3 linked regions of the Caenorhabditis elegans genome follow. The protein of the gene in region 1 purifies or fractionates together with the protein of each later gene. This does not show direct contact. Each region holds a gene or a part of one and is shown on either strand. Other genes may lie near its edges.

Evidence for each region.
Region 2: the proteins of Y49E10.30 (region 1) and ceh-51 fractionate together in Caenorhabditis elegans (co-fractionation; one large-scale study listed by BioGRID). This does not show direct contact.
Region 3: the proteins of Y49E10.30 (region 1) and T09A5.14 fractionate together in Caenorhabditis elegans (co-fractionation; one large-scale study listed by BioGRID). This does not show direct contact.

What each region holds. Positions count from the first base shown.
Region 1 is NC_003281.10:12,385,317-12,388,314, forward strand, and holds Y49E10.30 (uncharacterized protein), read left to right. Parts: upstream 1-1,580; coding exon 1,581-1,798; intron 1,799-2,329; coding exon 2,330-2,405; downstream 2,406-2,998.
Region 2 is NC_003283.11:18,872,464-18,876,559, forward strand, and holds ceh-51 (Homeobox protein ceh-51), read left to right. Parts: upstream 1-1,669; coding exon 1,670-1,923; intron 1,924-2,993; coding exon 2,994-3,444; 3' UTR 3,445-3,519; downstream 3,520-4,096. Other genes in the region: emb-4 (Intron-binding protein aquarius), read right to left, coding at 163-503. UniProt on the Caenorhabditis elegans protein: Required for mesoderm development, including specification of muscle and coelomocyte precursors.
Region 3 is NC_003280.10:7,830,492-7,833,525, forward strand, and holds T09A5.14 (Neuropeptide-Like Protein), read left to right. Parts: upstream 1-1,862; 5' UTR 1,863-1,899; coding exon 1,900-2,070; intron 2,071-2,125; coding exon 2,126-2,161; 3' UTR 2,162-2,412; downstream 2,413-3,034. Other genes in the region: cex-2 (Calexcitin-2), read right to left, coding at 2,576-2,695.

The sequences.
Region 1 (2,998 bases):
GACATTCTAAAAAATGGTAAAAGTTGGTAAAAGTTCAGAATTTTTTGATTTTGATTATGAAAAATAGTATCAAAATAATTCAAAGCGTCATCAAAAAATGGGTTTTTTTTCAAAATAGATATAATCTGTTTTTTCTATTTCTAGTGGCTTGCACCACTCTAAAAACTTCCTAAAACAGTTTCTGAAATAAGTAAAAAGTTTTCAAATCCCCAAACTGTATTACAACATTTTTTGTTAAGATTTCTGTTGATTTCCGATAGTTTTGGAAACATTCTGAAAACTCGTAGTTGCTTATCCAATATAGAACTTTCCAAATTCTCAAGCTATCAGACTAGAAATTTAAAAAAAAACCACGGACTGTAAAAGGGTACCTCTGGTCAAGACTGACGAAGCTTTAGAACCTGATTAGCCACAGGAATTTAAAAATGTTTTCTGAAAGTAAAATTGAAAATTAACTGATTTCAAAAAATTTCATCAAAACTCAAATTCAATTTTTTCAATTTTTTTTCGAAATTCTATTTGAGATATTTGGCTAACAATTTTTTGTCCGAATTTGTTCAAGTGTGTCGAATTAATTCACTTAACATAACTACTCACAGAGCCTGTGCTTAAAGCATTTTAAATTATTCGAAGAACTTAATAGAAATCAATGAAATTCAGTACTAAATCAAAAAATCTTGGTAAAGTGGAAAGTTTCAAAATAAAACTATTATATATCCAAAGATTTGTTCAATTGCATTAAACAATCTTTTTGACTGTTTTCTTTCAGGAAATTAACTGAAAATATACTTTACTGTGCTCGTTTTTGAGATTACGGCCAGGTACCCATTTACAGCCCGTGCGGTCGTCTCCCCCTTCTTCCCACAGGTCCACAACGCCCCCTTCCGGCAGCCCTCTATAGGAGACGATCTCACTTTTGTCTGTGTCTCCGCCTCTATCACGCTCTCTCTCTTTCTTGGCTCAGGGGAAACGCCGGGTTGATCGTGTTTGAGTTGATCGTGTTTGAGTTGATCGTGTTTGAAGCGGATTTCCGATCTAAATTTTTATAAATTAAAAAGAACCTTTTTCCAACAAAAAAACAAAAAAAATCCAAAGAAAAGAGTTGAAATTCTCTTCTCGACTTTTACTCAATTTTCACTCGACTTCTAGAATAATTATTCTAGAAGAAGTACGCTTTCCAACTTTCCTTCTCTTTTTTCTCACCCCAATCCCTTCCCAAATCCCTGCACCTGTTATGTTATGCATGCTCCCCTTTGTGTTTGAACATGGATCGCCGGATCGAACGATGGATGGATTCTCTGGAACTGTTACTGGAACAGTCTTTCGTGCTTCGGACAATCAATGGACACTGCTACATCCCTCTCTCTTTCCCCCTCCCCCTCTTTGTTGGAAAGTTAGTACGAAACTTCTGAAATCAGAAGTTTCTCAATCATTTTCTCATTTAGTATCAAACTTCTAAAAACAGAAGTTTAAATATAACACCGCTAAGACAACTGTCTGAAACGGGAGATCGGAATTGAGGCTTAAACACATCATACACCGTACTCAGAGGTAGCGAATAAAGGCTAATGACCAACATCATGCTAGTACTTCTGTTCCTAACGAACAATGAGAACCGATGTTGGGCCCATACTGCGATACGATCGGGCGGTTCTTGCTCTATGGAATACTTGGGTGATGATGTGCAGTTCTTACGGTGTAGAGCATCACATGAAGAAGCAACTCCTATTCTAAGCTATCGCCACCACCTGCATAATCACCAAGCAACAGCAAGAAGCAGCAAAGGACGACCGAGAACGTAAGATTTTTTTTCAAAATTTTTAACATTTTTGATTCAAAAATTCGAAATTTAGTTCTCAAAAATCAAAGATTCCAAAATATTGGAATCAATTTTTTTCTGCCAAACCCGAATTTTTCTTTTTAAAAAATCCTGAATAAAAATTTCTGAAAATTCAGGATAAAAAAAAAACCCAAGAGCTAAATATTTCAGTGGATTCATTCGGTCGGGTATTCCGGAATGGCTCCGGCCACAAAACTGTGCCTTACAAAACTGTGTTTTCCGCAACCATCACACGGTTTCGAAATGGAAAACATCGTTTTACAAGGCACGATTTTGTGGGCGGAGCTAATCCGGAATACCCCGACCGAATGAACCGCCCCCGGCATTCTTCCCAGGAGGCCCAAAAGGCCTTCTGGTGAAGTGAGGGGGACGGCTGACCGCGTGCTCTTCTACTTCCCAGGAGCAAACTTTTCGAATATGCGGCCCCATGTGAAGAACTTTCTTCTCAGAATCATTATTTCCGGTAATTAAAAAAGTACATTTTTACAGAACAGAAGAAGAAGGAACAAACGACGACGGAAAGAAGACATGGACAAAAGGTGGCGATAGTATGGAGTTGAATTGAAACGAGATCTCACTCAAAAGATCTCGAGCGACGATGGATCGGGATGGAACGATGGATTCAAATGCGACGATTGGGATCGGCGGACGGGATGGATTCGGGATGGATGAGGATGGATCGGAATGGATCGGGATGGATCGGGATGAATCGGGATAAATCGGGATAGATCAGGATGGATCGGATGGATCGGTATGGATTGGGATGGATCGGTATGGATTGGGATGGATTGGGATGGATTGGGATGGATGGATCGGGATGGTTGGTTGGAATCGGGTGGAAGCGAGAGCAACGACGACGACAACGACAACGACGACCACAGCAAAGGATCGGGATGGATGAATCGAGAAAAAAATTAAACGATGCTTCAGATAATCTGATTTTTACAGACTTTTTTTACTTTTTTACATTTTTACATTACATTTTACATTTTTACAGACAGACGCGACGACGAACATCAGGATGGGTGGATCGGGATGGATCGGGATGGAACGGGATGGATCGGGATGGGTCGGGATGGAAGATCGGCATGGTTGGATCGGGAGAAGGCGAGAGCAAGGACAAGGATGACAACGACAAGGTCAACAAAGGATCAGAAT
Region 2 (4,096 bases), on another chromosome or scaffold:
GCAAATTGAGCTCAAATGCCAAATTTTTCTTGTGAAAAGTTGCAATTTTCATATGAAAATTTGCCAATTTCGCACGAAAAATCGTTTTTCGGTAAATTCAACCGTAAAATTCTTAATTTTCACGTAGAATTTCTCAAGAATTCCCCAAAAAAAAACACGCACTGAGCCCTGGCTCTTCCCTGTCGATCCAACTGCACATTTGGTACACTAAGCCTGACTAATCTCGCAAATAACGATTGTTCCATATTCGAATATTTCTGGAATGCCTGATTCTGTACAACTGGCGGCAGCTGATGATGATCTCCAATCATAATCCATCGTTTCAGTCGATTGTGTCCGTCTTGTGGATTTTGTAGTAACAATGGGATAAATGTTTCAACTTCAAGAATTTGAGCGGCTTCTTCCATTACGATATTATCGTAGCGGAAGCCGAGCTTCACGAGCTCATTTCGACGGAGAGCCGCGTGTGTACAAGTCATTGCGATGATTTTTGCCTCTTTCACCTGAAAAAATCCAGGATTTTTATAATTTTCAGAGTGTTTTTGTTGTAATTTCGTCGAAAAACTCTAAAATTTTCAAATTTAACATTTCGAAATTTGAATTTTAATTATATTTTTTCTTTTTTTTGCAAAATTTTGTATATTTTATTTGAAATTTGTTGTAGGTTGTAGTTTAGGGAGCACTATATGCCTAGATTCGATATATTTTTTTGCAATTTTCAACATTTTTTCCAATATCTTATTGATCAGATAATTTTTATGTCAGTTGTTTTTTTCTTTTTTGCTTTTTTAAAAGTTTTAAGTAGGCGGGCAATTGTTGTTCGGAAAATTCGGCGAATTCCGGCAAGTTTTTACCCGTTTGCCGGAAATGTTCAATTCCGGCAATGTGCCGGTTTGAAGGAAATTTTCAGTTCCGGCAATTTGCCAGAAATTTTAAATTCCGGCAAATTTTTGCCGGTTTGCAGGAAATTTTCAATTCCGGCAAATTGCCCATTTTGCCAGAAATTTTCAGTTCCGACAATTTGCCGGAAATTTTCAATTCCGCCAATTTGCCGATTTGCCGGAAATTTTCAATTCCGGCAAATCGCCCATTTTGCCAGAAATTTTCAATTCCGGCAGTTTGCCAGTTTGCCGATTTGCCAGAAATTTTTAATTCCGCCGGTTTGCAGGAAATTTCAAATTCCAGCAATTTGTCGATTTGCCAGAAATTTTCAATTCCGGCAACTTGCAAATTTGCCGGAAATTTTTAATTCCGGCAAGTTTTTGCCGAATTGCCGGAACTGCAGTTTTTGACTGAAATTGGCTTAAAAATAAGCTTTTCAGACCAAAATTTCTACCGTAATCCAACACAAAGTACCAAAACTGCCAAATTTTGGCATTGTCCGATTTGTACGAAAAACTACAAGAATCAATCGAAAATTCGCTTTTCCGTGGAAAAACTTCACATTTTTCCAGATTTTCAGACAATTCTGAAGAACAGCCGGAAAATCTCACCCAATTCCCAGGTATCTCACCTCTCCGGTGTCACCTTTTCCCGGTCATGTCTCCCGCCAAACAAAATCGCACCTTCTCGCCTCCCCGCCTACCTAGGCAGCAATGCTCCGCCTAGATTTACAGCCTCCCCAGCTGGAGAATAGCCACTATAATTCCCCCAATTCATTCCACACAAAATGTCATCATCCAACTATAATATTAATAACGGCGGTGACTATTATCCTTTGTCTTCTTCGAATCTTAATTCAACTTCTGCTATTACTAATGCTACTGTAATGGAATATTCCACAATGCCAAGCAGCTCTCCGGGCTCAATGAGCTCATCGCCAGCCTATCCGGCGGCCTATCAGGCTCCATCACCGTGCTACGTGGCGGATCCCAATCAGCTTTACTATCAACAACAGCTGGCTCATAATGGGAATGATATGTTGTAAGTTTTTTCGATACTTTTCAGTACAAAACGGGCGTTTTAGAGTGATTTTCACTACGTTTTTCTACCGAAATGCGTGAAGAACCGCTAATTTTAATGGGGTTATTCAATTAGCGTCGGAAAATTAAAAAGTGTAGAAAAATTACGTCACAACTGTATTAAAATACATTTAAAAACATGTATTTAAATACATTTTGCAAGTAACATTTCTTGAATAACCCCATAAGTTTTGACAGTGGGAAATTACTCAAAATATAGCTTTTTCACACTATATGGCCGCGAACGGGCATTTTTAGCAAAAAAAAACTTTGTTAGCTGCTTTGTTGCAATTAACAGCTCTAAAAATTCCAATTTGAACTATTTTGGTAGCTGCAATTTTGCAATTAACAGTGTCGAAAAGTCCAATTTGCACAAATTGGGCAAATTTGGTAGCTGCTTTTTTGCAATTAACAGTGGCCAAAATTCCAAATTTAGGCAATTTTGGTAGCAGCTGCTTTTTTTGCAATTAACAGCTCCAAGAAGTCCAATTTGCACAAATTGGGCAAATTTGGTAGATTTATTGCAACTAGCAATGTCGAAAATTCCAATTTGAACTATTTCGGTAGCTGCTTTTTTGCAATTAAAAGCTCCAAAAATTCCAAATTTATGCAATTTTGGTAGCTGTTTTCCTGCAATTAGCAGTGTCGAAAAGTCCATTCTGAACTATTTTCGTAGCTGCTTCTATGCAATTAAGAGCTCTTAACAATCCAATTCAGGAAATTTTGTTTGCTACTTTTTTTGCAATTAACTGTTTTCAAAAATTTCAATTTTGAACAATTTTCGAAGCTTCTTCTTCGCAATTAGCAGTGGCCAAAATTCCAAATTTAGGCAATTTTGGTAGCTGCTTTTTTTGAAATTAACAGCTCCAAGAAGTCCAATTGCCACAAATTGGGCAAATTTGGTAGCTTCTTTTTGGCATGTTAAATTTACAGCGGCAAAAATCCCTATTTGGAAAATTTGATCACTGCTTATTTGCAACAAAATTCATCTCCGTGATCGCTTTTCTTCCGAAAATTCCTTTTTTTTTACAGAGTTCAAGCCCATGCTCAAGCCTACCAAGCTCAATGCTTCGCCTGGTTCCAGCAGCAGTACTCACAACTCTCCCCATCCTCGTTTCCTCATCCTATGGTGGCTCATCACGCTGGCTTCATCCCACCACCGCCGTCTTTTCTACATCATCAGCATCAGCAGCATCCAAGAGCTCCTTCAGAAAAGCGGAGAGGCGCTCGAACTCCGTTCTCCGATTCTCAGCTTTACGCGTTGAGAACCAGATTTGAGCAGTGCGACACAATAAAGGTTGACGAGCGACGGAAGTTGGGAGCAGTCATCGGACTTTCGCCCGAGCAGATCAAGATTTGGTTTCAGAATCGGAGATTCAAGTTGAGAAAGGAGAAATACAAGCAGATCAAGCAGGACGCTGTGCAGCAACAGAAATCGGCGAAGGAGGAGGCGGAGGAGGACCAGAAGCATGTTATTTCTTGATTTGTGTAGCTTTTTGTCACTTGTATTATTGTGTGCCCCCAATAAACGATGTTCGATTGAATTGAAGAAAAAAAACCGCGAAATTTGAATTTTCAGTGTTTTTGAACCTTTTAGAACATCAAAATTAGTAGAAATTCCACAACTTCAAAATTTTTGTCTCAAATTTACAACTCTCCGAGCATGTGTATTATAGGCGGTGTAGTCGATTTTTTTTATTGCTTCATTAGACTCAAAATTGTCTGAAAACACAGAATTTCATAATGAAACTTTTTTGAAAACTTCTCAAAAAAAAATTATGACGGCTCAAAAAATGGCCAAAAATTCGTTAAAATTTCAAATTTGACCGACGACTTGTCAATGTCGTAACGGCTGAAGGCAATTTTTTTTTTGAAATCACCGTCAAATTTTGAGTATACAATGTAATTATCTTGCGTTTTCAACTTCATTTAGGTATTTTAAAGTCCATGGACTACGGCGAGATTTGGTTTTAAAAATTTAAAAATCTCTTCGTCCATCGATTTTAAAATACCTAAATGGAGTTGAAAACTCAAGATAATCATGCTGTAAACTCAAAATTTAACGATGATTTCAAAAAAAAATGTTTCCAGTCGCTGCGGCATTGACAAGTCGGTCAAATTCAAATTTTAACGAA
Region 3 (3,034 bases), on another chromosome or scaffold:
CACTGAAAATCATATATGCATAAAAGTACATCATATTTTCAACTTTTCATAACAGAAACTTTGTAGCTATCTTATGTCTGGCTGCTATTTAAAAAAAAAATCAAAATTATAAGGGTATTTTATGCAAACATTCAGTAAGCCTTTTGGATATTTTAACTTTTCGAGAAAAAACTGAATTTGTCTCACCCAACGTGATCAAAGCGGCTCCGATTTTTTCAAGGAAAAAAAATGGTTTGAAAAATGTCCGAGATCAATTGTTCTAGTTCAAAGTTCTCTTCTGTGTATTTTTAGTAAACATATTTCATTTCACTTAATTTTTATTTTGTATTTGTATTTGTATTTGATTGAAACAAACTTTAAAAAAACCTATTCTGTCTGAAAATAATTTTCCCCCTAACTATATAATTTTTTTAAAAAAGATTATTGTAGAAATGAATATAATCTCTACCAAATAAAGCAGTTAGATCATTTTTTAAGACTCCATTGTGCTAGAATGACTAAAAGGAAAAGCTTTCCATAAGACATAAAGTTTTTTGTGCTATTCAAAAATTATATATATATTTATCAACAAAAAGACGACTCTCCCACAATCAGTAGTCTTTAGAAATCATGCAACCAATTTAACTCATCCTTCATATATTTTCTCTGATAAGGAGAATAATAATACAAATCCAAGAAGAATTTATTTAAAAATTCACACCCTATCAATATCTTGTTTACCATTTTGAAGTGAGGTATGTGAACGAGAAAATCTGCAATAAATTAAGTACTTTATCGGTCAAAACTGGATACGGATTGGTGTTTGATTTGAAATTCTCGGACAAACTGGCTTTGAGATTCTTTATTAAATCCTTGAAGATCCCACTATACTAGTTGCTTATTAAAAACTTCAAACACCCACAACTAGATTTGATGAGTGCGATGATGCCTCGACAAGCAATCCAATTTAAAAGTACCGTATCAAATTATGTGAAATCTTCAAAAATTCATCGTGAAAAAACAGTTAAACATCTTTTAAACAAATTCCAAGAACTGTGAACCACAGGAAATCTGATTTCCGTGTTTGTCTTGAATTTTGCGAAAAAGGCGAAAGATTACGAGTAAAGATGGAAATAGATGTGTCTACTAGGAAATGAAAATGTTTTTTCAAATCAAATAAATATTTTCTAAGGGAATAAAAACGATTTTTGAGATAAATTGGCATTTCACGAAGAGCCTAAAAATTAAAGAGAACGATTGTTTATGTAATCATTGTGAAAAAACGTTCTAAAAGTCCAGCTTATGACAAACAATTTAAATTTTTAATTGTCTCCCTGTTTTAATTTCACCTGGAAGAATCAGCGTAAACTCCACAGACTGGTAAACCAATTAAAGACGTTCCGAAGTGGGTGCTAGCAGCTGATGGATCTTGCAATTTTCATATTGGAGTAAATTGAAAAATTATCCAAAAGCTCTAAAAATTGAAAAAAAAATCAAAAGTTTTGCCGTTCTTAATTTAATAAAATTATCTTTTCGGACCATCAAGTTCCTAGATGATATCATAATATCTTTTGAACCTCTCATTCCCACGCAAAGAAACTGCGTTGAACATTGTTTCGATTATTCATGATATATGTCAAAAGCATCTGTCATATTAAAATCCGCTTATGTCTCTCTGTCATCATTTGAACATGTCTGCTAAAATGTTTTTTATTTGCATTATCCGATTACCACCCTACTATCATTCATCCGATTTCCAGCAAAATCCTCCTCCCCCCAAATAGGCGGAGCTCGAGAAGAAAGTACTGAAATGGGCGGAGCAAGTCGTCGTCTGCTTTAATCTGGCACATGCGACATATAAAGGACTTGCTCTGTGGGTGACACCAACTCAGTTTCATACACCCTTTGCTTTCTTCTATAATGCGGATTTTCATCTATTTTCTTGTTCTTTGCAATGCAATCTGCACTCTAATGGCTTATGATATTCGAGATTTTGAAGTAATCCGACAGAACGCTGTTCGAAATATTGCAAGTCTAGAGAATATTCTTGAACAAAGACTTCCTTCTCACAGACATCATAAAAGTCCAAAGGTTTGTTTATTTTATTAATTATCTGAAACATGTTCTTACTTTCTCATACTTTCAGAGTCGACGAATTGGTGGAAACATTGTAATGGGTTAGAATCACCATATTTGATCTACTTTAATTGTTGCACTTCTTCACATCATTTCATCATTTTCCTGTTACAGTCTAAACGGGTCTCACAACGACTTCCCCTTCTCATCGGGTTCCATTTCTACTATATTGTAGTATAAACAGACCACTGTGTATTTTTTTTTGATTTTTTGATTTTTTTTTCTGTAAACTTAGTTAAGTTTCGATTAGTTTTATTTATTGAAAGAATAACGACAATAAATCGTTTAAAAGCTCATTGCATATGGAAGTATAAGTGATTTAAATGTATGTTGCGGGGATTGGGGAAAGAATTTGGAGAAAGGGGAAAGGAGAAATCGAATGAAACTATAAAGATTTCAAATAAAAAACACACCGGTACGAAATTAGTCAAGAATAATACATTATAGGTATTTATTTCAATTAAACTTTTCCTAAGAGCCAATTTCCAGGGCTAGATGGATCTTCTGAATGGAAGAATTGTTTCCAAAGAACATGGAATTTCTTTTTATCAATACTATTGATAAGTTGACCTTGATGATTCTGAAATTTAAGTTATTAAGGTTTGGAAACTTTTTGAACTGAATTATTTTCAAGTTTTAACTTTTAAAATTTCATATGGCACCCAAATAATTTATGAAATCATTAGTCTGGGCAATAGATAATATCAGGGAGGAAAGCACATCGAAAACGAGTTTAATTGAGATGCTACAGTTCTTTAGGTACAGTAGCCATGAAGAAATTCGGAGTTCGATAGAGCAAAGAGCCAATATGAGTTTTTCCCCATTTAAATCAATTACTCACTGTGAAATTATTGCTAAATATGATCCTTCTTGGTCTACCCACCCACTTTCATTAAATGATTTCAATAAAATGTTTGTA